7 linked regions of the Ovis aries genome follow. The protein of the gene in region 1 purifies or fractionates together with the protein of each later gene. This does not show direct contact. Links are inferred from orthologs where the notes say so. Each region holds a gene or a part of one and is shown in the gene's direction. Other genes may lie near its edges.

Region 1 (4,133 bases):
TTCCTTGTCTTTCAAATGTAGTTAGGCCAGTTGATGAGAACATTTGCATAGTACAAATGTGTAAATTTCCAGACCTTTAAAACACAAATTTGTGTAAAGAGATTTACAAAGTGCCAGCACATAGTGCTAAAGAGTGTGTTTTTTTTAAAAAAAATTATTTTAATTAGGCCAAGTCTGAGAGCCTAAGCAAAGTTCTTAATCAGCGAGGTGACAGAATGTTACCAGAATTTTATTATTAATCTGGTTGTGAATTACTGAATAGGTTGAGGAGGTGGGGCTGGAGCTGAGAGACGAGTTGGATGGCAACTGCCAGAGTCCAGGAGGGCATCCAGTAGGCTGAGGTAATCAGACCTGGGAGGACAGTGTTTTGTTTTTTTTTTTTTTTTAATTTTTAATTGAAGGATAATTACAATATTGTGTTGGTTTCTGCCCTACATCAACATGGATCTGCCATAGGTATACATATGTCCCCTCCTTCTTGAGCCTCCCTCTCTCCTCCCACTCCACCTACCCCACCCTCCTGGGTTGTCACAGACCCCCGGTTTGAGTTCCCTGAGTCATACAGCAAATTCCCACTGGCTCTCTATTTTACAGATGTTAGTGCGTATGTTTCCATGCTACTCTCTCCATTCATCCCACTCTCTGAAAGTGTTCTTTCCTTAACAACGTTCACGGCATATGCAAGCTCGTTATTTAAAAAGAAGAAAAAAGGTCTTATGAGTGTTTTCTTCATTGTTTTTTTTGAACCAGTTACTGTAGAAGCCTGGGAGTCGAGAAGAGCGCATCTGCAATTAAACCAGGGTTAGAGTCCTAGCTTTATCCTTTTCTAATTATGTAATATAGAGGAAATCACCTAACCTCTCCCGAGCCTCAGTTTCTTTTCCTCCGGAATAAGGGCAACAATCCTTACTTGGTAGAGCATTCGCGTGCACAAAACCAAGTGGCTTAAAGCACCTAGCAATGGCGCTCACTGGTGCCTCCCGCCTGCCCCCGGGGATCCTTCGGGCTGGGGCGGACGCGCCAGGCCCGGAGAGCGGTTCTACCTGGAGACCGCGGCCGCGCACTCTGGTCCGGAGCCGAGCTGACCTCCGAAAGCCGGCCCACCTTGGCCCAGGCTTCGGGCGGGATGGCAGAAGATAACCCTGACAGAGAGGCTCGGGGGACGCCCAAGGGAAGCGGGCGGCTCGGGGCAGAGAGGCGGCGACGGCGTTGGAGGCTGCGGCGGCCACCCCCACGCCGCCGTCAGCGAACTCCCCGCGAGTGCTGGGCCGCGCTGGCCGCGTTTGAAGTCTCCGGCGCGGCTGCTGGTTGGCTGGCGCGGGTCACGTGGCCCAGGCAGGAGTTTCCCCGACAGCTGGAGGCTGCGTGGGATCCGGCGGCGGCTCCGGAGCTCGGCGGCGCGGCCTTCCCCACCCCCTCCCTCCCTCCTCCCCCGCCCGCTTCCGCCCGGCTTATTATCCTCCTTATTGACAAACAGAGCGGCTGCGGCGGCGACTCTCGGCGTGCGTTTGTAGCCAAGTCATGGGAGACAAGAAGAGCCCCACCAGGTAACAGCGCCCGGGCCCCCGGGCCTGGACTGTGCAGGCGGCGGGGCCCTTGCGCCGGGCTTCGGGCGGCCGCCACGCTCGCCGCCGGGGCAGCGGGGCGAGAACGGGGGCGGTGCCGCCGCTGTGCGAGCGCTGCCGCGTGAGGGGCCGGCGCCGGCCGCCCCACAATGGAGCCGCGATGGCGGCGGCTCCGGGTGTCCAGCGGCCCTGGGTGTCCAGCAGCGGCCCCGGGTGTCCAGCGGCGGCGGCTCCTGCTGCGGCCGCGCTCGCGCCCCCGCCTTCCTGACTCCCCTCCCCCTCCGAGCGGGAGCCTGGCGCGCCGGGGACCGGCGGGGCGGGGGTCGCGGCACTGGGGCTGGGGGCGGGGCGGGGGCGGCTGCGGGGCCCGGGCGCGGCCCGCTGGTGACCCCGCGCCGCGCCGTGTCCGGGTTATGTCCTGCAGGCCGAAGCGGCAGCCGAAGCCGTCCTCGGATGAGGGTTACTGGGACTGTAGCGTCTGCACCTTCCGGAACAGCGCAGAGGCCTTCAAGTGCATGATGTGCGATGTGCGGAAGGGCACCTCCACTCGGTGAGTCCCGGGCCTGCCCCGCGCGCCGCCAGCCCCCGGGGTCCCGGCGCCGAGGACGACCCTGCGGCCGCCGCCCCCTCCCAGGATACTGGCAGACCCGGCTGGCCGAGGCGAGACTGAGGTGGTGGCCGCGATAGGAACTGGGTCAGATTGATCACGACCCGAGCTTTGCGGTGAGGGTAATTGAAGAGGCTGTAATGTTTTTTGCTGCCAAGAGAGAATAAATTATTTAAGGGAGGCATTAGCTCGACCGCGATTAATTTGTGTCGCTGGATGTAATGCCACCCCCACCCCCTCATCCGCACCACATTTTGTGGATGAAATAACGTTGGCTGCATTGTTGTGTTAGTGTGTAGGAATCAGAGAAATATCATGAAAACCTCTTTAGAAGCAAACGATGTAATTTAATTTCGTTCCTCAAAAAAAGTATCTGATTAGAGAATACACAATAGATTAAGCTTCCTTTTTTAATATAGACTCTGGAAAGGTCAAATCAGGGATTTGTGTAGTGTTTTAAATCTCAGTTCTCTAATGTTTTATAAATAGTTGGAGGTGAGCCCAGTCACAGGGACACGTTTTTTTCCTGAAAGTATCTGAATATCTTTAGTTTGATTAAATGGCAATCTATTTTACTATACAAATGAGATAAAATGATCTCTGCCTATTTTCAGTCTTTATTTCATTGTCAGCTTACAGTATGATAACAGTCTTTTAAAAAACCACTTAAGTGTATTAAGTGGATAAAGAAGATCATTCAGGAGATTCAAAGTCAGTGACATTCTTGAACTGCCAGCACTTAGTTGCTATGATTTGTGGCCTGATATTTAGAGGGCATATATTTTTGATTAAAGTTTCTTGGAAAATGAATTATCACGAGTATACAAATGCAATATACTGTTGCTTTTGAAAAGGCTATATGATATTAACCTTAGGGGAATATATTCAGTAGAAGTTATGATTCTAAAAACGAGGAGATATCTTGATTCTAATTAAATTTTAAATGTAGAGACATAAATGGTTATAAAAAACTTAAAATTTTAAGATTTGCTTATTGAAGCTAGCTGCTTTTGACATACCTGTCTTTTTGTAAACCATAATATGCTGTTTGTATAGTCTTATTAGATTCAATAAATTAAATATTTTCCTGATATCTTTTAAAAAGCAAACTTTCGAACAACTGCTAAATTCAAGGGAATGTAATAGAACATACGGAAAAGGAAAAAGCACCATTTGCTGAAATGAATGTGGTAGCTATTTTTGGACCCGTGATTTAAGTATTTTGAAAAGCAAAGTATCTTTATATCTTTTAGTTTATATAAGGTTTGATTTGGTTTACATTATATTTGTTTATCAATGTAGTACTTTGTACTTTTTAAAATGCTCAATAAACAATGTTAAGAAAAGGCAGGAACTTTAATGTGGAGATAGTTATAATCTTAACTTCTGGTACGGTATTGTTGCTTTTTGTTGTTCCCTCTCTATGTTCTTGTAGCCATTAGAAAAATACTGAAACTAGAAGAGCCTATATGTTTATTTGCAGGGACAGCAAGGAAGGGGGGAAGCTGGTGTCCTACTCCACAGCCAGTCTTGGGGTTAGAGGAACCCTGAGAAATAGAGTAGGTGGTGGCAGCTCAGAAGAGAAGAAACAGGCCGAATACCTGGCACCTGGAAGAAGAAGGAATATAGTGCACAGGGGAGTTGGCCCAGGACAGAGAAGTGGGCCTAGTTTAAAAGAGGTTTGAGGCCCACGTTGGGGGCCCCTGACATTTTTTACCAGTACATCTGAGCTCTTATAGATCCAATTTTTAGTGGTGGAAACATTTCTTGAGAAGGACTCAGAGAAGCATTGTCATTTGGATTGAAACTGAAGAGGCTCTGGGCAACTCACCAGAAGTCTAAGGGACACTCTGTTCCTAAAAGTAAGTGTTCTACACTACGACCCTCTCAGCTGCTTCCTTCCTCTCTCTGAATTTGTCTCTTCTCTTTTGATTTTGGCCCTAAGTTAAACCTAAGAGCTC
Region 2 (4,184 bases), on another chromosome or scaffold:
AGTCTCTGGCCCCTTCCCCGCTCCATCTCCCCACCTCTTGATGTCACCATTGCATGGTCACCCAAGAAGGTGGAAAACAGAGAAGAGACCCGTCATGGAGGAGGGAGCCGAAGACAAGTTGGATATTTAAGACTTCGAATTCAGATTTTCAAGGGATTAGAAAACTTTCTCTCTCTTCAAAGGAGAGTTTAACGGGGGTGGGGGTAAGGCTTTGTATCAGGCCCACAAAGAAAGGGGGCGCAGTGACAGGCGGGCGTTCTCCTGGGAAGCCCGGGTCAGCCTTCTAACGGAACACGGAGCAGCACCATCTCCCCGTGCTGTCCCGGAAGACACAGTGACGGTGCAGCCCCAGGGAGGAGGAGCAAGTGGACACTGGTGGAAGGCTCTCTAAGACCGCAACTTCTGGCACACTCCCCAGAGCAGGCAGGACTGACGGACACACGCGTGGGGTCATCACCCGCCTAGGTCACGTCTCTGCCAGCCTAGGGGTTTCAAGGCGAGATGTGGCCAAAAACATTTGGATCTTCAACCAAAATTACGTTGTCACCTTTCAACAGAGGTACAGGCGTTCTGTAGGGTAACTGACTATAAAGGCAGAGGTTCCGAGAAAGCCAGAGGTTTGTTTCAATGCTGCGGCAGCGCTAGCGAGCTCAGAGTGTTTCACGAGTGATTTCTGTGCAGAAATGATTTTGAATATGAGAGCTAGTTATCCCCTGTAAATACTGGTCAATGACTGGACTCTCGAATCTGTGGGGAGAGGACTCGGGTTCGGACTCTGATCCTGTGTTTCTCCTCTCTCCAAGCACCCAGCCCTCACCCAGAGGCTTGTCCGTCTGTGCACCTGAGCCCCAGGGAGCGGCTTCTGGCTGCCACATGGGGGTGAAGACTCCAACACAGTGAGAAAGACGGAATTTCTTGGAAAGAGCAGTGGGGTGAGGAACACAGACTTTCTGAGAAACAGAACGGGGTGGGAGGTGCAGGCACCACAGCCCTCCCAGTGGGGAGCTATGCATGTTTCTCCACAGGGAGGCAGAGGTGTCCAGCCTGCAGGGACAGAGGACGGTCCCTCCGAAGCCTTTTACTCCCCACTCCTCCCGCCGGGTCTTCATCACCCCTGTTGCTCTAAGTGTAGAAAGCATACCGATCAGCAGGAAGAATGGGAAGATTCCTGCTTTTCAAGAAACCAACGCTAATTAAGGGTAAGAGTTCAAGACTGGAGTGGCTTGCCAGAGAAGCAGGTTGAAAGTGGTTAAACTGTGGAACCGTCCCAGGCAGCGTGTAAGGCGATAGCTCAAGTCCTCTGTGCCCCATGAACTCTGGACTCGGCCCCCACGCCCCGCCTGCCCTGGCTGGGCTGATGGTGAACCGCCGGGGGCAAGTCTCCAGGGTCAGACTCCACTCAGCCCAGGCCACCTGGTGATAAGGAGCAGGCCGGCACCCTTCCGTCCAGAAGACTCAGAGCCTGGGCAGAGGCCGGGCGTGGGCGTGGAGACCTCGGGCTGGGCAGGAACAGGTGAGCACTCGGCGGACAGGGCACTGCGCGTGCACACGCTGTCACCTCCGAGCATCTGCACGAGCACACACCCGACCTCCTCTTCCTGTGCACACACATGCACCCGCTCAAACACGCCTGCGGGCACAACTCCAGCCTGCCTTGCTCCTCCAAGAGCACACTCACTGTGCGCTACTCGAGCCCGCTCCCCCGAGTGCGCACATCTGCACGCGCGCGCGCACACACACACTTCTGGCCTCTGTGCACACTCTCGCATCCATCCGCTACTACTGGCTGTGCACACACGCACGCGCACCCCCATCCCTGGCCCCGTGTGTGTACACACTCATCTCCACACCTTCCACTGGTTCCCAAGTGCCGACGGAGTGCGCACACACCCCCAGCCCGTGACGCCCAGGAGCATGCACGTCCACACACACCAGGCCTCGGTCCCCGTGTGCGCACAGGTGCACACGTCCCAGTTCCTATCCCCAGGGTGCACACACACGCACGCGCACCCCCATCCCTGTGCCCCGTGTGCGCACGTGTGCACACATCCCTGACTCAGCTCCCCCGCACGCGCACCGCGGAGTCCCGGGCCAGGCCCTCCTCTCCATCCGCAGCCGGCGCGCGCGCACACGCGGGCACGCGCGCACACGCGGGCACGCGCCGGAGCAGCTCATCTCCTCCAAGCGCGGGCCGCCCGGCGGGAGGAGAGTGGGGGGCGGGGGGGGGGAGGAGGAGGAGGAGGAGGAGGAGGAGGAGGGCGCCGAAGGCGCGAAAAGGCGCGCAGGCGCGCTGCGGGAGCCGGGCCGCCGCCCACGTCACCGCGCCGCGCACGTCACGCCGCCCGACGCTCGCAGGGTGAGCCCCGCGCCCGGCGCCTCGGCAGGGCAGGGACCCCGGCCGAGCGCCGCCGGGCCCGCCGCCCCCCGCCCGCCGCCCGCGGCTGCGCGCCCGCCGCCCGCGCCGCCCGCCCGCCAGGTGCGGCGGGCCGGGGTCCCCAGGGGCGCGCGCCGGGCGCCCGGCCGCGCCGCCCCCGCCCCGCGCCGCGTGCGCCCCGGGCCCCCCGCGCGCCGGGCCCGCCGCCGGGGCGCCCCGGTGACCCCCGCGGGGGGCGCGGGCCGGGGCGCGGGCGGGGCCTGCGCGCAGCCTCCGGGCGGAGCGGCGCGCGCGCCGGGCGGGGGTCGGGGCGGGGCGGGCGCGCGGGGCCGGGGGCCGAGGACGGGGCGCGGGCCCCACCTGCCCGCCGGCTGCCGGCCGCGGCGCGCGGGGGGCGCTCGCGGGAGGCGGCCGCGGCCTAGCGCCAGGCCGGAGGCCGCGGCCCCGGACGCCCACCTGTCAGAGTTACCGGTCGGCCGGTGGTCGCGGGTGGGCCCCGGGGGCGTCCGCGGGGAGCGCGTGCGCGCGGGGCCGCTCCGGGTGGGGTGGGGGGGGGGCATCGGGCCGCGGTGCCAGGCTGGTCCACGCCGGGTCTTTGTGCGCCTCGGGGAGGCCGGCGGGCAGCCGGGTTGTGGACGCTTCCCTGCCTGAGATGACTTTAGAGTGCCCGGGCGGGGGGCGTTTCTGGGCCGCCCCCCGCACCCCCCGCCCCGGGACGGAGCGAGGGCTTGGAGAGGAAGGGACTCCTGCCGCTTAGATGGGTGGTGATGCTGAGGGGACGGTGGCGGTGTCAGCTTCTCGTTTCAGCCTGGCTCATGACTCCCCTCTCCTTCTTTTTACCAGGAAAACCATTTTTCTTTTCTGGAGGGTGACCGTTACTAGCATCGATTTCACGGAACTGGTAACATGGCAAAAGATGTGAGTACGTGTGTCTGCTTTGTGCTGGACCGATGTTTGCCCAGCACTGCGTTCTCGGTCACTCCCCACCTTGTTTCAGAATGACCACACATAAACTGCGGGCCTGTCGGTGTTCAGACCTTTCCAGCAAAGAGACACAGTAAAGGTGAGGAGGCGGGGACAGCCGGTGGCGCTGCGCGCGGCCTGAGCCATGCTGGCCTCTGCCTGGGCCACGCAGGCCTGAGCGGTGGAGGCTGTGTCTCGAGGCTGGCCGCCGCCGGCCCCTGGGTCTCTTGGAGGCTGGTTGGAGGCTGGCCGACGCCACGCTCCTGGGTCTCTTGGAGGCTGCGTCTCGAGGCTGGCCGCCGCCGGCTCCTGGGTCTCTTGGAGGCTGGTTGGAGGCTGGCCGACGCCACGCTCCTGGGTCTCTTGGAGGCTGCGTCTCGAGGCTGGCCGCCGCCGGCTCCTGGGTCTCTTGGAGGCTGGTTGGAGGCTGGCCGCCGCCGGCCCCTGGGTCTCTTGGAGGCTGGTTGGAGGCTGGCCGCCGCCGGCCCCTGGGTCTCTTGGAGGCTGGTTGGAGGCTGGCCGCCGCCGGCCCCTGGGTCTCTTGGAGGCTGGTTGGAGGCTGGCCGCCGCCACGCTCCTGGGTCTCTTGGAGGCTGGCTGACTTGTGAATCAGCCAGGGCTCTGTGAGAGGACCCCCTGCCTGTGGAGGCGCGGGGCTGGCGAGCCTCCCTGAGCAGCTGCTTTGTGTGCCCCCCGGGAGTTAGTTCAGCTTCCACCCATGAAGACGCTCAGCACTGGACTTGGCAACTGTTTTTCTCAGAAAAAAATGAAATGTGATAAACAGAATGTGAACAATTCTGCTTTGTTTACATTTGTTGTGAACCCATAGAACATCGTGAGTAAACTT
Region 3 (4,206 bases), on another chromosome or scaffold:
CAATTTGATCTCTGGTTCCTCTGCCTTTTCTAAAACCAGCTTGAACATCAGGAAGTTCACAGTTCATGTATTGCTGAAGCCTGGCTTGGAGAATTTTGAGCATTACTTTGCTAACATGTGAGATGAGTGCAATTGTGCGGTAGTTTGAGCGTTCTGTGACATTGCCTTACACGGTTTAACTTGTCTAATTTTCCCCATAGCCCTATGAAGTAGATGCCATTACAGTTTTTATGCTGTAAAATCTACAGCACAGAGAGGTTAAGTTGTTGGCCCAAGGTCACAGAGCTTGTAAGTAGCAGGGCTGGGATTCAAACCTGGGATGAATCTGACTCCACTGTCTGTGCTCTTAACCATATCAAAAAAAGAGGAAACAGTCTCATCTAGAGAATAGAATATGAAAAAAAGATTAGAACAAACTGGGCTGTGCGAGGAAGTTGTGTTGATTAAAAAAAAAAAAAAAAAGTGGGATGGGAAAGCAAGACAAAAGGCCCAGAAGATCATAGAGAGAAGAATGTTCAGGGCTAGAAAGCAAGATAATAAAATAGGCCAAGGTTTGGTTGGCCACCCCACCCTCAGTCCATGCCCAACCCCCAGCCCAACCCTACAGGCAGAACTCTCACAATTCGTCTCCTGGTGTGGTCCCAAACAAAACCAGAGTATTTACATGATCTCAAAGTATCGCTTATTAATTATGGAGGGAAAAATAGGAGCTTTACAGCCAGCAACCTGGCTGACTCCAGCTAAACCAAGTGTCCGATGTGAACATACAGAGGGGTCTTAGGGAAGGTTCTGGAAGGGAATTTTGGGGATAGTGTATGAGAAGGGTTTTATGAGGAAGGTGATACATGAGAGAGACGGGCAAGTCTTGAAGTTCAAGGGTCTATGGGTGACCGGTCACGGTCCATTGAGGGGAAGACGGCGTGTCTCTGGGAAGGAAGGGGAAATCTTATGACGGAGCGGTTCTGAGAGCTAAGAGCAAGTCATTAGGAAGGGACTTGTTGGGAACAGTTTGGGTGACAAAAAGATCACAACAGGGTCCATCCGGGAGGTTGGGGTGGGTAAACTCTGGATGACTAGAGGGCAGAGCGTTTGGGGCAGGGGTCTCTAGGGGAGTCCTAAAACGGTATACGAGGCACAAGGCTCCAGGGCCACAGCCTGCAGCTGGGGACGACCCTGTGGTGAGCGCGGCGGGCCAGACCCAGGAGAGAGAGATTGGAAGTCGGCCTTGAGGGGCGGGGCCGGGGCGGGGCGGGGCCGCCGGGAGGGTCCCCCCGCGCTGCAGGGGGCGCTGTGAGCCTGGGCGGACCCGGGCCGGGCGGCGGCCGCTCCTAGTGAGTGCGGCCCCTTTTCCGGGTTTCCTCCTCCTCCTCCTCCTCCTTCTTCGCCGCCGCCGCCGCCGTCGCTGACCCTTTCCCGGCCGGCGGCTGCCGCTGCTGGTGCCGCCGACAGCGCCGCCGCCTCGGAGCCGCGAGCCGAGCGGAGGCCGCCGCGGAGCGCGAGCGCTGCCCGCCCCGCCGCCCCGCCGGCCGCTCCAGGGCCGGGCCGGCTCGGCCGGCGCCCCCCGCGCCCCCCAGCCCGCCCGCCCCCGCGGGCCCGGCCTGGCGCGGCCGCCCGCCGCCGCGCTCCTCCTCCTCCTCCTCCGGCGGCCCGCTGCCCGCCGCCTCCTTTGCCCGTCGCCCCGCGCCCCTCGCCGCGCCGCCACCCTCGGCGCCCCGCGGCGCCCCCCGGTCCCGCCCGCCATGCCCGGCCCGGCCGCGGGCAGCAGGGCCCGGGTCTACGCGGAGGTGAACAGCCTGAGGAGCCGCGAATACTGGGACTATGAAGCTCACGTCCCGAGCTGGGGGTAAAGCCGCCGCAGCCCCCCTCCGGGCCCTCGCACCCCCACCCCCGCCGCAAACCGCACTCGCCCCCCGTGGTCTGTCTCCCCGCTGGGCCCGCGCCTCTTCGGCTCTGGGGTGGGAAGCAGACCCTCCCCACCATATTCTCGTCTCCCTCTCCCCGCTTCTCGTTCCTTCCTCTCAGCGGTGCGCACCCCTCTCACCTCGGGGAATGCTCTCTTACTGACAAGTGTAGGGATCCAGGGACCAGAGCCTGGTGGAAGTGAAGGAGCAGCCCTTCCTTCTCACGCGTTGGGGTTTCTGTTGGGGTGGGAAGTCAGCAGCTGTCCTCTTGAGCTATTAAAATTCTCTGCCTTTTTGAGGTTTTTGAAATGAGGCTGGGTGGGAGGAAATTTTTTAAAGACGTCCAGATTCTCAAATCGAGCGCTGTCTACCTTGCGGGAGTGAAGTAATAAGGCAGGTGCTGTGGGCAGAGGGGCACCTGTGAGCCTCCAGGATGGATGCTCAGCTCATCTCGCTAGATTGGCTCAGACGCCTGCCTTCCCACCTTGTCTCCCCCTAGTTATGAGGGACCAGTTAGGTTAGGAGCTACGTCCAGTGAAAAGAGCCAAGTTTATGTTGTGGCTTTCGTGTAGGGAATAAGTTATGGCATGAGGTATATAGACACTTCCAAGTGCTTGATCAGTGGAAGCGCCTGGATGAGGATGTGTAGTGGGCATAGCCTTGGTTAACCCCAAGTCCTGGCATTTATGTGTCCTCCTTGTCTTTCCCAGTAATCAAGATGATTACCAGCTGGTTCGGAAACTTGGTCGAGGAAAGTATAGTGAAGTATTTGAGGCTATTAACATCACCAACAACGAGAGAGTGGTGGTAAAAATTCTCAAGGTGAGTGTCTTATGAGTGGCATTAAAATTTCTTTTTCACAGGTCAGAAGGATACAAACTACTCCAACCACATTCTAGAATGAGCAGGACAAACTCATTTTAAAAACCTTCTGCCCCATGTCCCTCTGCTACTCTTCCCACAGCTGTTTTTGTTTGAACTTTTTTTTCACACAGACCTTTTTCAAATCTAAGCATGGTAGTTCAGGAACATCCTTGTTCTAAAATGTAATTATGGGCTCCCAAAGTGAATATTCCAAAGAGCCTCCATTTGTTACAAACTAAATAGGTATTCACATGCAAGAAGAGCCTCTTCATGAAGAGCCCAGTTGATACAAAGGCTCCTTGAGCACTGAATTTGTTATTCCAGAAAGAAAGATGGAAACAGAGTAGCTTCAAAGAGGAGTTTGAAGACTGAGTGGAAGGAAACACCCCAGTGAATAATTGCTTGTTTTTTCTCCTTTGGTGCTAAATGGTTCAGATGGGGTACATACAGTGAGCTAACAGGGCCAGGGAGGTTCATAGTTGCTTATCAGCCAGTAAAAGTGAAGTTGGGAGCAGTAGAGAGTACGCTTAGAATCACTAAAATAATGATTAGAACAAACCAGCCTGAATCTGGTTTAGCAGCCTAAGTTTGTAGCAGATACACACTTTGTCATCTCTTGGATGGAGACATGATCTTACTAAGTATGAAGAGTTGGCTAAATTCTCTTCCAGGTAACTGGTTATATAGCTTTGATAATGTTTTACAGGGTGGACTAAAAAACAGTTCTTAGAATCTGTGAAGGGTATTCATCATTGCCAGATTATTTCATTTGTGTGCATGTCATTTAGTGAAATCTTGAGGTGACCAAAGAGTTAATTAATATAAGCACTTTTACACAAACAGGAGTTCCAGTATAGCCGTTTTGGAGAGGTTCTGTGGATAAGAATATAGGATTGAAAGGCTGTTTTTGTCATCTTAAGTAGAGTTAGGGCAGCTGTGTTCCTGTTTAAAAAGAGGGGTCAGGCTTGGACTGTCTGAAAATCGCTTTTCAGAAAAATGAGTGACTCTACTGATACTCCGTACCAGTCTAGCCTAGTGATGAAGAGACAGGATTATGATTGAGAGAAATAGCCAAGTTACTAATTTATGCTGTCAGAAACGCTGGGGGTAAGAAGTAAGGAACTGATATTGAAAATGTGGAGTTTTTGACTCTCCTCTTCCCTGAATATGAGTTGCACCCACAGAATCATGTCATCTTTTTTGTTATTGTATTTCTTCACAAGCATAAATATTTAAAAAGATGCTTTCTTCAGAGAAGTCACCTGGGAAAGCCATACAGCTTTTTTCTTAGTATATTAGCATAAATGTTTTTACTATAAGCTGGTTAAAATCTCTCTAGGAAGTAAGCAAGACATAAATTGAAATTAAGAATATCTACATTCCATTGCTGTGCATTTGGAAGGACGAACTGCTGACACTAAAGCAATTTCAGAAAAATGTC
Region 4 (3,500 bases), on another chromosome or scaffold:
AAATCATTCATGCTTCTGGTGCCGAGTAGACAAACAGGCAGTTTTCCCTCTGTCGTCTGGGCAGAGTCTTCCAGCCTTAGTGAATAGACGGGGAAATGGCCGCCGTGTAGCCTGTTGTTTCACAGAAGCAGTCAGTTGTGGGTGCACATGACGCTGTGATGAACTGTGTTTTGAGGAAGCCAGTACCTTTCAGATTCTGCTTTGGGGTTCAGGGGAGAGGGCTCTCATCTGCCCAGCTGAGCAGGCACAGAATTCTGAGTACACCTGATGGCTCATGGTGGATTATTCACATTCGTGTTACCTGCCTGTCCGCCTCCCCTGCAGCCTAGAAGCCCCATGTGGCTTGTGATACAGACTATAAATGGCCCGTGCCTTTGTTTCCTTTTTCCTCAATCTTACAGTTATTTTGGGGACCCCTCTGTCTCTAAGAGTCTGTTAAGTCTACAGATGAGCAAGTTATATGTACACTTTTTTTTTCTCCCCTGTGTAGTATCTTTTTTTTTTTTTTTTCCTGTCACCCACCGGGGTTTCTTGTTCTTTCTGCAGGTGGTGATTCTGGACGTCCGAGTTCCCTGCACGCCTGTCGCCAGGTTAAACAACCACCGAGCATGCGTCAATGGCATTGCGTGGGCCCCACACTCATCCTGCCACATCTGTACTGCAGGTAATTACTGGAGGGGGGTGATGGGAAGGATTACTGGAGGCGGGTGATGGGAAGGGAGGTGGGGGGAGGTTTTCCTCTGGTCTCCTTAGCATCATAATCCTCACTCTATCCCAAGGAAGGTTTGAGAGATTTACAGAGAGTGATGCCACTGAGAACCTCCCTACACTAGCGTAGCTGAAACAGTCTGAACTCCCAGATGATCTTGTACCCTCAGTGATATCAGAGAATCTGTATACTGTCTACATCGTATACAGTTACAGGCTTGTGTTGCCCGCTGTGTGCCCCCAGAATCCTGGCTTGCGCAGGACGTGCATCCAGGAATATGAGAAGAGGGGCAGTCTCCTTGGCTGTAACCTCCGCCCCGCTGCCCCCCGCCCCTGCACTGAGCTCTGGGTACCTTGATGGGCCCTGCAGAACCTGACTGGATCTGCAGCATGGGATGTGTAGTTCCCGTTTCACCATCTGCTAGACCCCAAGAGGACCCCTTAAAAATGTGCTGGCCGTCAGAGTTCTTTTATCATAGAAATAATGTCTGGTATTAAAAATTAAACAACACTGAAACAACGCAGAGGTGTATGAAACAGGAGGGTGAAAGTCATCGTCCCTCCTTCCTTTCCCATTTCCACCTTAGCAGTGTAGTTTGGTGGTTTGGGGCCAATTCAGCATGAATTTGGAAGCATGAAGCTTTTCTTCCTGGGGCCCTCTGCTCATGCCTGTCCATGTTGTTGAAGCGCAGCCAGAGGCCCAGGCCCACCCACTTCCTCTGAGCCTCAGGTTGTGGCCTGCCTTCTTCACTGTGGCCCTCGCTGATGCATGTATGTCCGTAGGATGGGGGAAAATCCCATTAAATTGAATCATCAGAGCGGGATCTTTAATGACTCAGGTACTTTAAGTGGCTGAAGGTGCCATGTGGGGGATCGCATCCCGGCTTTCTTCCCTGATGTCCGCCTCAGAGGAGATGAGGTGTTGGTCTGAGTCCCTCTGCCATCCCCGCTCTGCTGTGGGGAACGGGCCCTGAGATGCAGAGGTGGAGGGCTCTGCCATTCACTGGTGCGGAGCTCTGTGGCGCAGGGCACCTGCCTTAACATTTCCTCATCATTGAAACCTCCCTCCATGGGGTTTGGGTGAGTGAGTCTTTGTAAAGTGTGCCCCCGCCCTGATGCAGGGCTCATGACCCTCACTGCCTGAGTGGTGACTTGCCTGCTGGCTCTCTGTGCCCCCAGCGGATGACCATCAGGCCCTCATCTGGGACATCCAGCAGATGCCCCGGGCCATCGAGGACCCGATCCTGGCCTACACAGCCGAGGGGGAGATCAACAACGTGCAGTGGGCATCGACCCAGCCTGACTGGATTGCCATCTGCTACAACAACTGCCTGGAGATACTCAGAGTGTAGTGTCAGTGGCGTCGTGCCCACACGGCAGGGGCTCGTGTGTCTCCCGCCTCTGCCCCACCCCCAGAGTAAGAAGACGCGCGTTTCCGGTGGCCAGTACGTCTGTCATCGCTTTGCACCCGCTGTTAGCAGAAACTGCTCCAAAGTCCCCGGCCAGCCGCCCACCGCTCGCTGTGCCGGACTCAGCGCAGCGTGGCGCCTCCTCAGCCCAGGGCTGAGTGTTTCGATTTCTCTCTCCTTTCCTCATCTCCTTTGGTTCTGCTATTAAAAATTTCTGTATATCTGTTTGTCAGCCGTCATGTTAATGAGCTCTGTGGGCAGCGGCTGTGTCTGTATTCATCTGTCGCAGATGTCTCTGTCTGCCCAAGACAGCAGTCTGGGTCCTTGTCCATGTGAGCACTTCCTGGGAACAAACACCAGTTTGAAACTGTCTTTCTTCATGTTACCCGTGTCTCTTAACAAATTTCAACTTTGTATATTTTTTAATCTATCGGGCTAATTTTTTAACGAAAAGAATTTTACTCCCTGGCCTCTTCCTTGGTTTTATCGCCCTCCCTGTTGACACCTTCCTCTCTTCCCTCCCTGCCTGGATCTGGCCTCAGGCCCCTGACCCTCCGAGCAGTTTGCCTTCTTGAATCACTGCCTGGGCGGAACATACCTGACTGGGAGTCCCAAACCTCCTCGGTGCTCTGAAGTCGGCCACCTCACACCTTTCCTTGGCCTGGCTCTTGTCGAGGGCATTCTGAGCTCCTGAATAGACATGTGACCCCTGCTCTTACTCCCTCAAGTACATACGCCTGTCCAGCCCCCCAGGACCTACTGAGCTAGCCAGGCTAATGGGGGTGCCCGACTCCCAGGGGACGGTGGCAGGAAGGCTGAGCTTAGAGAATGTTTCCGGTCCACAGTTTAAGAGTCTTGTTTTTCTCTCCAAATATAAGCCCCCAGCCATCCTCTTTCATGTCTTGAACGATAGGCAGGCGTGATGCATCAGCTGAACTTCAGTATCTCTGTTTAGTTCACTGTGACTGGTGGTACGTTGGCCACTCTTCCGCTAGAGAGGAGAGAAAGCCCTCCTTGGCAGGTGCCCAGTCTGAGTGTCCATCCCAAACAAGATCTCCTCTAGGCTGTGGGAGACAGTCAGCTCTTGCAGAGGATGGATTCAGGCTGGGGTCATCCCAGGCCATCAGTTAACCAGAGAGCAAGAGAAGCTTCAGAGACCCAGGGCCAGCCAGTTCAGAGCCCCGCAAACCCATCAGTCGCCCCGCCCCAAGTTTCAGTTCTGAGCAGTATTGGACATGGAGGCGGTGGGTGTCCTTTTCCGTTAGATGAATGAGTTCCAGGGAGGGGTCTTGTGTGTGACTCTGGTGGTAGGCGAGTCCTTGGGCGGGCAGAGTTTGGGACACGCCCAGAGTCGGGGGGGAGTCTGGTTTGCCACGCTCTGCC
Region 5 (3,500 bases), about 120 Mb from region 1:
AGATGACAAAGAAAATGAAAGATATCCTTTAATCTGTACCCTAAAAAAAAATCTCCCAAAGCAATTACCTTAAATAGTAGGCTCAGCTTGGAAATTTAGTTAATATATTTAAGATACAAAACCAGACCTTTTGAAGTGAATGAACTGCTATAGAAATCATACTGAAACTGCCTTTCCAGTCCACCAGGCCTGACGCAGTTGGATGGTCATGCTCTTCAGTTTAGTGTCTCTGGGACCAAAGGGGGAGATTGTCTTTGATTCTGATCTCTCCCCTAGTCTCCTAGACAGTTTTGCTGCCGTGTTCCCCATGCAGCACCTTTCTGAGGTGTCACCGATACTGAGCTAGTCCACGTTTCAAATTTACTGAGGTTCTACACCAGTCAAAAACTCCTGTTTCCACAATACAGTTATTGGAAGGAAAGTAAATGCTGTCACTGGACTCAGTCAAAAAGGTCTGTGGAGTTAAAAAAAAAAAATGCTGGGGAAACCCTTTAAATCAGGTAAATGGTAAAATTTCAAGCAATACAATAAAATGAGAAAAATTCAGGTAGCAAGATGGAAAATAGTTTGGGATGAGAGCACTCCCATGAGTACGTGATAGTCCTGAAAAACTGGTTCTAAGTTGTTTCTACTACTAACAGATTCTTTCTCCCTTACATTTTAGGAGATTCTCATCAAAACACTTTTTTTCCCCTAGAGGTTCTCATAAGATGTAACAATGATAGGGAAAAGTACAAGGAGGTTTGAATACCTTCGTGTGGTGTCTTTGTTTTAAACACCCAGACTTTATTACTATTTTTTCTCCAGAAAGTGTCATCACTATCACAGTAGTATAAAAGAATTCTTTTGAGTTATATTGTAAAACACTTCATGAAATCCTAAGGATCGTTGATGAAATAGTAAGAATTACATATGAAATTATTTTTTAATCTCCACCCTCTGTTTAGAGACCCTTAACTGATTTTTACACTAGCATATGTGACGTATCAAGACATTCACAGCATCCAAGCCTTCTATGAACAGATTGTAATTGCAGTTAAAGCGCCGGCAGAAACCAGATTGGATGTTCCAGCTCCCAAAGAGGTAGGTAGCCCTGCTTTTGTGTGTGTGTGTGTGCATGCGCGCACCTACGTGCATGCGTGTTTGTGTGTGTGTGCATGTGCTTAGTTGCTCAAGTCACGTCTGACTCTTTGCCACCTATGGACTTTAGCCCACCAAGCTCTTCTGTACGTGGGGATTCTCCAAGCAAGAATTCTCCACCCCACCCCACCCCCCACTCCCGTTCTTAAGAAGGTTTAAAGGGAAACGGGCTTCCCTGGTGGCTCAGCAGTAAAGAATCCACCTACGGTGCAGGAGATGCGGGTTCAGTCCCTGTGTTGGGAAGATCCCCTGGAGAAGAAAATGGCAACCCACTCCAGTGTTCTTGCTGGAAAGTCCCATGGACGGAGGAGCCTGGTGGACTGCAGTCCATGGGTCACAGAGAATTGGACACAACTGTGTGACTAAACAACAACAAAGGCAGGCAAGCCAGCTGCGGCAGCTGTGCGTTGTTGCAGTCCCAGTAACTTAATAACTAGTGTGCATGTTAGCTGCATCCCTGATCCACAGCTCAAGGCTCTTCACCCATTTTAATGTGTTTAATGTGTTTTGAGTAACAGAAACTCAGTAGTCATGATTATTGTCCTCTTACAGATGAGAAATCTAAAGCACAGAATGATAAACTTTCTTACCATCATACAGTAAGTGAGAGAAACAGAATTCAAACCCAGACAGTTTGGTTTCAGAGTCTGTTCTTAGCCATCGTACTATCATGGGCTCTTAGAGGAATCACCAAGAATTGGCCTCAGTGTTAAGATCCAGTGTCAAACAGGGCTCTGGGGAATTAGCTCACTAGCCAAACTCATAAAAGACTCAACAGAGAAAGGAGGACTCTAAGTTAAACATTTAAAATGAAAAGTAAAATTAATGTGTGTGGAAATACTGTCCACTGCTTACAGGAAAGTTTGTGTTGAAAGATACTCGTTGAAGATGCGTGTTCAGGGTGGAATCAGAATCAAGGAGTGAGACCATTCTTAGGACAGATGGAGTGCTGAAGGCCTGATAGACTGAAGTCGTGCTGAAGTACTGAAGTTGTGTCTTCTTCTTTGCAATAGGGGACTTAACCTCCCTCAGTGAAGCAGCTCCTACCCACCTTCCCTTTTATCCCCAGAAGACCACAGTGCACGTGAGACCCTAGCTGTTAACTGGACAGTGTATGACAGACAGTTAAGGAGCACCTTTTGTTTATTCCAGTCACACTCAAGTTGTGACTTCGAAGTGATACTTCCTAGTGAGTGCTTCCTGTGGTTCAGTCTAAGCAAGTACATGATATTCTCAAATATATGACAGCAAAGAAACTACCTGGATGAGAATTTCCAAAAGTGTCCCTTGAAACTTTAACAGTTCTAATAAGTGAAAAAATGTAATTCATGAATCCTCTCATTCATCTTAATGCTTTCTGTGTCTTTTGCTAGGATTCTATCACAGTACATATCAGGAGCACCAAAGGACCCATTGATGTTTATTTATGTGAAGTGGAGCAGGGTTCCCACTCAAGTAATAAAACTTCGGACAGTGTAGGGACCTCTTCATCCAAAAGCAAGCCTTTGGAGCACCCTCAACCTGAGAAAGGTAAACAGGCCGATTTAAAACGATTTTTTAAATGTGTATAGTTTTACAAATGAATATTGTGAATATGAAAATTAATAATATAAAATGAATATTATGGCCTTAGAGGTATTTTTACTCTTCCTAGCTACAAAAACATGAGTTAAAAATTATGCTATAGTTGCTTACTGCTTCTAACAACCCTGTTGTTAAATCCCATGTAATTTTAATATCCGTGAAAAGTTAGAATGGTTGGTTTTGGAGTGTGGTCTCTGTAGAGCAGGCTGTCTGATCCTCTGACCCAGGCCCTCAGGCTCATGCTTGAGTCCTGGTTTATTATTCTTGTGAGACTGGAAACATTAGCCTTATGCCACTCACGTAAGAATATGGTTCTTGACTGAGGTCTTCCTATTTTATCTCGAAAGTTCTCTTAGCTGCCTGCCTTTGAGACCATCATTTAGGAAGATTTCTCCCGTGTTTGTTATCTTTCAGAAGAAAATCTTCCACAGCAAAGTGAAGAAGTGCTTGAAGTGAGCAACTGATGGTGTTTGAGGGTCCATGTGTTGAGTCTCTTGGACTCCTGTGTGGACGAAGATCCTCAGAGCAATAAATCATCCCTGCCATTTTCTCATGCTTGGTAGCCGCAAGAAGGCCAGGAATGCCTCCAAGCACTTTGCTGCTTAGATTTCTGGATAATGGCGGTTTCTGCATTTGAAAGCAGCTCTTTTTATAATTATTCACTGCTTTTTTGCCAGTGAAGCGGTCATCTTGCCTACTGAAATTACTGAATCACACAACTGTGAAACAGACAGGCAGGCAGGGTAGACAGCTCCTCGTGGACTCTGCCCTTTGCC
Region 6 (4,157 bases), about 73 Mb from region 1:
TATCTAGTGGACCTCAAATTTAGAAATATATTTAACACATGTCAAGGCCTACTTATTATATTTAGATTCTCAATTAAGAGTATAGTATAGCATAGGCAAAGAATTTGGAATAAATCTTGAATTCCAATCAAATGTGATCTTAGAAAGTGTCTAAACCCAAAGGGCCACTGTTTCCTCATTTGTGAAACAGTGACTGATTGTCCCTGATTTAAGATGTTTGTAAAGCTCCATGATAGAATTTCCTTGATGGCTCAGTGGTAAAGAATCGCCTGCCAATGCAAGAAACAGGGTTCTGATCCCTGGTCCGGGAAGATCCCACGTGCTGTGGAGCAATTAAGCCTGTGTGCCACAACTAATGACCTTGTGTCCTAGAGCTGGTACTCTGCACCAGAGAAGCCACGGCAATAAGAAGCCCACGAATTGCAAGGAAGAGTGGCCCCCACCTTACCCCCACCTCTCTGCAACTGAAGTCCACACAGCAAGGAAGACCCAGCACAGACAAATAAATGAATATATATTTTTTTAAAGCTCTACTACAGCACCTAGAACTGTGAGTAAGGACGGTTGTGGGTCCTTAAAGACCGTTGTGGGTCCCAAAAGAATGAGGCAGAGAGCCTCATATCTGAGGTTTATTTCAGGAGATGGTGATGCAAGGTAGAGTGTTGCAGAATTTTAAGCATGTGGGACATTTATACCATTGGACCTAAGAGTGAGTATTCCAGTTTCTGCCTAAACAGGGAACAGTCTCTCTGCTAGGCATCCCCGCACTAGGGCACGTTTAATTTCTCATCAGGGAAAGGGCGAGGTTTTTCCTGGAGGGTGCCTGAACAGTACTTTCTTACGTGAAGTCACTCAGTCGTGTCTGACTCTTTGCGACCCCATGGACTGTAGCATACCAGGCTCCTCCCTCCATGGGATTCTCCAGGCAAGAGTACTGGAGTGGGTTGCCATTTTCCTTCTCTAGGGGATCTGCCCGACCCAGGGATCGAACCCTGGTCTCCTGCATTCCAAGGCAGACGCTTTAACCTTTGAGCCACCAGGGAAGGTTGCTAGTACCTTCTTAGGTACTCAATAATTGTTTAATGAAGAACGGAGTCGGTGTGATAGCAAGAGGTTACCGTGGAGAAACAAGAACTATCCTCCCGGGTCAGGCAGGTCTGGGGCGGGGAAATTTTCACGGCGCCACAGCAACGACCCCCTCCACGCGCAGCCCAAAGGAAACTACAAGTCCCATAAGCACCCGCGGCTTCCCCGCCTCCAGGGGAGGCGGGGCTCAGGCCAGCGCGGAACCGGCTTTACCTCTTTCCTGCAGCGTGATTGGCCTTCGGCCCTGGGAGGCGGCCAATGAGTAAGCTCCGGGAGAGCGGCGAGGCCAATATGGCTTCCTGCACCTGGTGACGGTTGAAGAAACTGTGTTAGGTCTCATGGAGAAGCCCCGGGGCGTCGAGGTGAGAGGGAGAGGACTTCTCGGAAAGGGAACCCCGAGAGCCTCGCTCGGTGGGCCTTTGAGCGACGCCTGGAGGGTGGAGGATGGAAGAATGGATAAACAGGTAGTTAGGCTGAGCAAGGCCAGAGGCGATTGGCATCGCCTTTTGCTCCCGTTCTCCTGGGTCCGAGTGAGGTTGAGGGAAGAACAGCTTCACTGGCCTGGGGGAAGAGGAACTGGGTTCAGGATATGAGAGCTCCTGAATCTTCCTTCTCCCCCTTGTCTCATGGTGGCCTCTTTAGGGACTGTGAGGCCTGTCACATCCTGGTGGGAAGTAAAGGAAGATTAAAGTTTAATAAACACTCCGTATCTGGAGCGTTCTCGTGCGTTATCCCACAGTAACAAGTCCTGTGTTATTGTCTGTTTTTTATGGATCATGCACCTGAGGCTTGGAGAGGGTAGTGCCACTCCCCAGGAGGGCCACGCAGCTGTAAAGTGAAGGAGATGGGCACTAAGTCTGTCAGGTTCCAAAACTCTCCCTGTTTTGCTTTTCCCATTCTTCCCACCACCTGCAACCCATATATCCTTTCATCATTTGGCTTCTGGTTACCTTATATTTGAATGTCCTTTCTGGCACATTTGCATATGTAGTGTAAATATAAAGTGGAATCGCTCACAAACTCTCCGAGAGTCAAGAAGAATCATCATCAGTGTAGAGTGTGAATGATAACTCCCAGTTTCAGAGCTGTCACTGACTGCTGGGAACAGAACTAGGCTTTACATAGCGCCTGGGTGCGCACAGCAGCACTCTAAAGAAGGCTTGTTACAGCCATTGTACTGATGGAGAAACCGAGAGCCCTAAGTAGGAGAGCCCGGATTCCAGCTCCGGCATATCCGATTTGAGTGCCTGTGCTTTTAACCAGTAATGATCACCAGCATTTATTGAGCACTTGCTGTTTGCATGTCACTATTCTGAGTGCCTTTCCCATAGTAACCCTTACTTCTCCCCCAAAGCCTATGAAATAGGTGGAATTGTCCTCATTTACAGATGGGGAAACCGAGGCACTGAGATTGAACTGCTGCAGGTCATATAGTAGGGATGGTTTTGGAGTCTTGGCCTAGAGCCCAAACGCTTCACACCTTTTCTGCTACATGCCACGTAGATTCATATAGAATACCTCATTTCACATTGCACATCTTTTGAACCAATTTTTTTTGTTGTTGTTTTATAGATGAGAAAAATGAGACCCAGACAGGTTAAATAACTTGCCCAAGGACCCACAGCTAGTTAGGATCAAGGCTAGGTCCAAAGCTAGGTATGTCCCACAGTGCTAGTATGTCATTTGCCTCAAATCCTCTTTAGGGCAGTCTGGGCCCCAAATTAACTTTCGTCTGACTTAAATTGTTTTTGAGTTGAAATTACTTTGGTGTATACCTGCTGAAGGGGGAAGAATGAGTTTCTGGAATACATCTTTTCCAGAATGTCTTCACGAAGCACCATGCTTAGTATATTTTCACATCACTCTGTTCTGTGTGAATTGTGGTAAAATGTCGTCATGTATAAATCCGCAGAGGACCCTGGTGAATTCCTAATACATGTTTCTGTCTGGCTAAGGTATTCTTTTGACTTGCAGTTGAGAAAGGTATAAACAAGAGTAATGATCCTGGTGTTTACGAAAGGGGTGTTTGATTGTACCTGCCGCTCGGCCCAGAAGCGTTGACTTGACCAGGACCTGGAAAGGGAGTTGATAGCAGACCTGCAGTTTCCCTTGTCTTACAGTAAGCCAACCACGATTGCTCCTGCCTGCTTTGTGTCATCCTTTTCCTAGGAGACTCCGTCTTCAGAACCGATGGAGGAGGAAGAGGAAGACGATGACCTGGAGCTCTTCGGCGGCTATGACAGCTTCCGGAGTTACAACAGCAGTGTGGGCAGTGAGAGCAGCTCCTATCTTGAGGAGTCAAGTGAAGCAGAACATGAGGATCGGGAAGCAGGGGAGCTGCCCACCTCCCCGCTGCATCTGCTCAGCCCTGGGACGCCCCGGTCCTTGGACGGCAGTGGTTCTGAGCCAGGTGCCTTCAAAGTGTCCCCCAAAGATAGGGAGGTTTCAGAGGCTATGGATGGAGAGGCAGATGTAGGCCAGGTGGGCGGAGCCGTCCAGGTGTAAAGGGCTCTTTGATCTGATGTCTAAGGACCTGTGAGAGAGACAGAGGCACCCCAAGTATCCCCAAGGGTCATTTCAGTCTGATTTCAAGTTGTGATTTCATTCTTTTCTCACAATTAATATTCATTCAGCACATATTAGATGCCGATCATTAACATGGTGGTGCTTTTGCGTTTGTGTAAATAATAATAGTTGGTGGATTTCTAAGCCTGGGTCTTGAGAATATACGACACCTAATGTGATCTGGTTACTCTCTGGGAAGGGACAAGAAATAGCTCGTGAGTCGGAAGTGAGAGGCAAGGAAATACAGAATTAAGTGACCTCCAGGTAAGAGGATGAGGGCAGATAAGAATCCCTGTGAATCATCTGGAAGCCAGTTGGCGTCAGAGGTGTGATGCTTGTACAGCTGCTGGACCTCGGTGTCAGGGCCTCCAGTGTGGGGACTGCCTGTGCAAAGAGGCAGGTTAGATGGTCTGTGATGACACTCCTGTTTCTTGGTCCCTTTACTCTTTAGAAGAGAAGCATCTAATACTCTTTGCCTCTCCATTCATCCTGTCTTCTTTTCCTCT
Region 7 (3,500 bases), on another chromosome or scaffold:
GTATCAGTGCCAGCTAACTTTCAAAATTGAATTCATTTGAAGAGTAGTTAGGTTTGATCTTAGCCAAAAGGCTGAGAAGCGATGAAGAATACTATTAGAAAAATAACTGTTACAACATATCTTGCTTTTTGATTTAGTCATGAGAGTTACTTGTTAAAACTTTACCCTTTGTTTTATAAATTTTTCATGAGAAATTGATGGAATATGTAAAAGTGTGATGTTGGTAAACCATTGAGAAGCTTGTTATGTTATACAGAGTGCTGTTGTTTTTTTTTTTTTTTTAATGAATGGCTCTTGAAATCTGATGTGATTTTACTTGGTTTTCAACAATCTCTTTTTCTACCTTTCCCTTCTTGAGTCTTATTTATGGATAATTCTGTCCTTTTTAACCCTCCCTACCCTCTCTCTCCAGCCTTGGCAACAGTTTTGAAGATGGCTCCCATGTAACGTCACCATTAAGCCCAAATGAAAACTTCAATGTTGTCATTAAAGAAGAGCCTTTGGATGATTATGAATATGAACTTGGTGAGTGCCCAGAAGGGGTCACTGTGAAACAGGAAGAGACAGATGAGGAAACAGATGTATACTCAAACAGTGATGATGATCCTATACTAGAGAAACAGTTGAAAAGGCACAATAAAGCTGATAACCTAGAAGCTGACCATCCATCTTCTAAATGGCAACCAAATAGCCCATCAGGTGTTGCTAAAGCGAAAATGTTCAAATTAGATGCTGGAAAGATGCCAGTAGTCTATCTGGAGCCCTGTGCTGTCACCAAAAGCACAGTGAAGGTTTCTGAGCTCCCTGACAACATGCTTTGCACATCTCGGAAGGATAGATCTTCTCTGTTGACAGAATTAGACTATTTGCCTGCGTACATTGAAAATTCTAATGAGACTGGCTTCTGCTTAGGCAGAGAATCAGAAAATGATCTTGGAAGACATTCACCAGATATCAGAGTAGTACAAAAATATCCCTCACTTAAAGAAGCTCAGTGGAAATACCCTGATATATCTGACATTGTTAACACAGAAAAACTACTTGATGGTTCAAAGAGTTCAGTTGAGGACTCGTTTTTAGGAAAAGAGGACTTGGGCAGAAAGAAAACTATGCTTAAGATTTCAGCGGCTCCTAGGACTGTGAATGCTAATCAGAATGCCCCTCCAAATGTCCCTGGAAAAAGAGGAAGGCCACGAAAACTGAAACTGTCTAAGGCAGGGCGGCCGCCTAAAAACACAGGAAGATCTTTAACTTCTACGAAGAACACTCCTACAGGCCCTGGGAGTACCTTTCCAGATGTGAAACCTGACCTGGAAGATGTAGATGGTGTTCTCTTTGTTTCCTTTGAATCAAAGGTAAGATTGTCATTTTCAGCTTTCTTTCTAAGGCCAAATAATCACCATTGAATTGTATACTAGCTGCTAGTTATCTTAGAATGTAGTTACTGTGAATGCATCCATTATATGAGGTTGTGTGCATGGGAAGGGGAGTATCTGAAATATTGGGTTAGCAGTATTAATCCAACGCTTCAACTAGATTATTTTTCTTTTAGATTTTTAGAGAAACCTAGTCTTTGTAAATTGACTACACAGAGGTTGAATTCTCTCTGCCTGTTCTTTTCCTCCCTCTTTGTTAATTGCTGAGTAATCTATCTTAATTAAACAGGGGCTTCCCAGGTGGAGATAGTGGTAAAGAACCTATCTGCCGATGCAGGAGACATAAGAGACGTAGGTTCGATCCTTTGGTTGGGAAGATCCTCTGGAGGAGGTCATGGCAACTCATTCCAGTGTTCTTGCCTGGAGAATCCCATGGACAGAGGAACCTGGCAGGCTACAGCCATGGGGTCACAAAGAGTCGGACACAGTTGGAGCAATTTAGCATGCACGCAGAAGAAATCAGTATACAAATTGCAATAAATGGGCATAAATACAGTTCTAAGTCAGGTAGCTGAGTGTATTATATTTAAATTTTTTGCTTTCTCCCCACTATTAAAGTGATGTTAATCTAGAACATTTAGAAAATAGTGAAAAGTATCAACATGGAAAAAATGCCCCTGGTTTACTTTTAAATCCTTAGAACTGACATGAACCACTTTTTTTCTTTCCTTTTTTCTTTTTAAATACAGGAAGCTCTAGATATTCATGCAGTTGATGGAACAAGTGAAGAATCTTGTAGTCTTCAGGCATCAGCTGCAAATGACCCAGGTATTATATAATAGTAAAAAAAAAAGAGAGATGGAGGATTTGGTTCTAGAAGTGAAAGAAGCAATGTGTAGTCTGCTGTAGTATATAGCAGCTTATTTTTATCATTGTTTTCTGAGTAGGTTGCAGAGCAAGAATTTCCCAGTTGGAAAAGGAACTGATAGAAGATTTGAAGGCCTTGCGGCACAAGCAGGTCATACATCCTGGTCTTCAAGAAGGTATAATTCTCTGAAAACTATGCAAGCCTTGTTTTTTTTTGTTGTTGTTGTTCTTTTTTCTTCTTGCCCTCTCTTTTTTCTCTCTTCCCTTTGTTCCTTCCCCAAATCTTTTCTGTTTTCCTCCTTTCCCCTTTCTTTTGATTTAATTTATTTTAGCCCTTCTCTCAGCTTGCATTTTTTTTTTTGTTCTCTCTGTTCATGATTCTTTCCCTTAACTAAAAAGCATGCCTAGGTCTTTTGTATCCTAAGAGAAACCTTTTCAGACTCAGAGGATATTGTTCTATCATTGGTGAAGCATAATATATTATGCATTAACAATGTATCATGGTAAGAAAGTGGTGTTTTTCTTTCTTATAAAGCAATTTTGGTTGCTTTTGTTTCTGGGGTTTTTTGAAGGTTCCTTTGTTTTGTTTTTGGAGGGGAAGCCCTACTTTTTTTATGTACTTGGTAATATATTTAGCTGTGTAAAGAGAATACTTATTTCTTATACGTGACTGTAAACATTTTATATATTTCTTATATTGCTTGGAGTGTAGTTTAAAATTTTCATCATTACCTATTTTGTTGAAATAATTTATCTTGGCCCTGCTTAAATGGTTTAATCCTTTTTTAAAGAATAGCACAATTTACCATACCTATGCCATTATAATTAACTACTGACTTTCCTCCCTGTTTGCACTGTAAACAGAAGGACTGTAAACCATGCCTCAACTTTTAATTTTCTCATATCTTTTAGGTATGCTTCTTGGAGTAGTTTGAGTTTTGACAGTCAATTTTCAAAGGACTGTCTAGGCTGATTCACATTGTATAGTACATCATTTATATGAAAGTCTAAGCATTATATACCAGCAGAGCATTGATTTGTAAACAGCCATTCAGTTTCTAAATTCAGTGGTAATGTTTGAACTTTTTGATTTAATGTGAGACTGTGTGACAGTATGGTGTTAAAGTATGTAAATTTCAATCCAAGTAATTAGGACTGGATACTGTGGATTGTAATGGAAAATCAATCATGTCATATTAGTCTTGCTGGTAATAATGTTTGCTGTCCTTTATTGTTTGGTTTCATTTCTGCTATTTT

The links.
Region 2: the proteins of YAF2 (region 1) and TFDP1 purify together in Homo sapiens (affinity purification with mass spectrometry; 3 studies listed by BioGRID and IntAct, counting the BioPlex papers as one, with this or other methods). This does not show direct contact. The link is inferred for Ovis aries from reciprocal best matches to the Homo sapiens genes YAF2 and TFDP1.
Region 3: the proteins of YAF2 (region 1) and CSNK2A2 purify together in Homo sapiens (affinity purification with mass spectrometry; 9 studies listed by BioGRID and IntAct, counting the BioPlex papers as one, with this or other methods). This does not show direct contact. The link is inferred for Ovis aries from reciprocal best matches to the Homo sapiens genes YAF2 and CSNK2A2.
Region 4: the proteins of YAF2 (region 1) and DCAF7 purify together in Homo sapiens (affinity purification with mass spectrometry; 3 studies listed by BioGRID and IntAct, counting the BioPlex papers as one, with this or other methods). This does not show direct contact. The link is inferred for Ovis aries from reciprocal best matches to the Homo sapiens genes YAF2 and DCAF7.
Region 5: the proteins of YAF2 (region 1) and E2F6 purify together in Homo sapiens (affinity purification with mass spectrometry; 4 studies listed by BioGRID and IntAct, counting the BioPlex papers as one, with this or other methods). This does not show direct contact. The link is inferred for Ovis aries from reciprocal best matches to the Homo sapiens genes YAF2 and E2F6.
Region 6: the proteins of YAF2 (region 1) and L3MBTL2 purify together in Homo sapiens (affinity purification with mass spectrometry; 5 studies listed by BioGRID and IntAct, counting the BioPlex papers as one, with this or other methods). This does not show direct contact. The link is inferred for Ovis aries from reciprocal best matches to the Homo sapiens genes YAF2 and L3MBTL2.
Region 7: the proteins of YAF2 (region 1) and MGA purify together in Homo sapiens (affinity purification with mass spectrometry; 5 studies listed by BioGRID and IntAct, counting the BioPlex papers as one, with this or other methods). This does not show direct contact. The link is inferred for Ovis aries from reciprocal best matches to the Homo sapiens genes YAF2 and MGA.

What each region holds. Positions count from the first base shown.
Region 1 is NC_056056.1:144,742,232-144,746,364, forward strand, and holds the start of YAF2 (YY1-associated factor 2), read left to right. Parts: upstream 1-1,333; 5' UTR 1,334-1,475; coding exon of another isoform or gene 1,476-1,521; coding exon 1,522-1,547; intron 1,548-1,978; exon of another isoform or gene 1,979-1,989; coding exon 1,990-2,115; intron 2,116-3,655; exon of another isoform or gene 3,656-4,034; intron 4,035-4,133. Other genes in the region: uncharacterized protein LOC132659532, read right to left, coding at 859-1,304, 1,476-1,523. UniProt on the Homo sapiens protein: Binds to MYC and inhibits MYC-mediated transactivation. Also binds to MYCN and enhances MYCN-dependent transcriptional activation. Increases calpain 2-mediated proteolysis of YY1 in vitro.
Region 2 is NC_056063.1:86,051,448-86,055,631, forward strand, and holds the start of TFDP1 (transcription factor Dp-1), read left to right. Parts: upstream 1-1,384; 5' UTR 1,385-1,513; intron 1,514-2,330; exon of another isoform or gene 2,331-2,476; intron 2,477-2,751; exon of another isoform or gene 2,752-2,863; intron 2,864-3,217; 5' UTR 3,218-3,280; coding exon 3,281-3,292; intron 3,293-4,184. UniProt on the Homo sapiens protein: Can stimulate E2F-dependent transcription.
Region 3 is NC_056067.1:25,635,747-25,639,952, reverse strand, and holds the start of CSNK2A2 (casein kinase II subunit alpha'), read left to right. Parts: upstream 1-1,406; 5' UTR 1,407-1,739; coding exon 1,740-1,843; intron 1,844-2,611; coding exon 2,612-2,723; intron 2,724-4,206.
Region 4 is NC_056064.1:47,621,860-47,625,359, forward strand, and holds part of DCAF7 (DDB1- and CUL4-associated factor 7), read left to right. Parts: intron 1-546; coding exon 547-664; intron 665-1,887; coding exon 1,888-2,060; 3' UTR 2,061-3,500. UniProt on the Homo sapiens protein: Involved in craniofacial development. Acts upstream of the EDN1 pathway and is required for formation of the upper jaw equivalent, the palatoquadrate. The activity required for EDN1 pathway function differs between the first and second arches.
Region 5 is NC_056056.1:20,407,617-20,411,116, reverse strand, and holds part of E2F6 (transcription factor E2F6), read left to right. Parts: coding exon 1-22; intron 23-969; coding exon 970-1,083; intron 1,084-2,513; coding exon 2,514-2,670; intron 2,671-3,138; coding exon 3,139-3,188; 3' UTR 3,189-3,500. UniProt on the Homo sapiens protein: Inhibitor of E2F-dependent transcription. Binds DNA cooperatively with DP proteins through the E2 recognition site, 5'-TTTC[CG]CGC-3'. Has a preference for the 5'-TTTCCCGC-3' E2F recognition site.
Region 6 is NC_056056.1:218,193,311-218,197,467, forward strand, and holds the start of L3MBTL2 (lethal(3)malignant brain tumor-like protein 2), read left to right. Parts: upstream 1-1,357; 5' UTR 1,358-1,424; coding exon 1,425-1,448; intron 1,449-3,255; coding exon 3,256-3,496; intron 3,497-4,157. UniProt on the Homo sapiens protein: Putative Polycomb group (PcG) protein. PcG proteins maintain the transcriptionally repressive state of genes, probably via a modification of chromatin, rendering it heritably changed in its expressibility.
Region 7 is NC_056060.1:35,312,770-35,316,269, forward strand, and holds part of MGA (MAX gene-associated protein), read left to right. Parts: intron 1-412; coding exon 413-1,355; intron 1,356-2,125; coding exon 2,126-2,204; intron 2,205-2,323; coding exon 2,324-2,419; intron 2,420-3,500. UniProt on the Homo sapiens protein: Functions as a dual-specificity transcription factor, regulating the expression of both MAX-network and T-box family target genes. Functions as a repressor or an activator.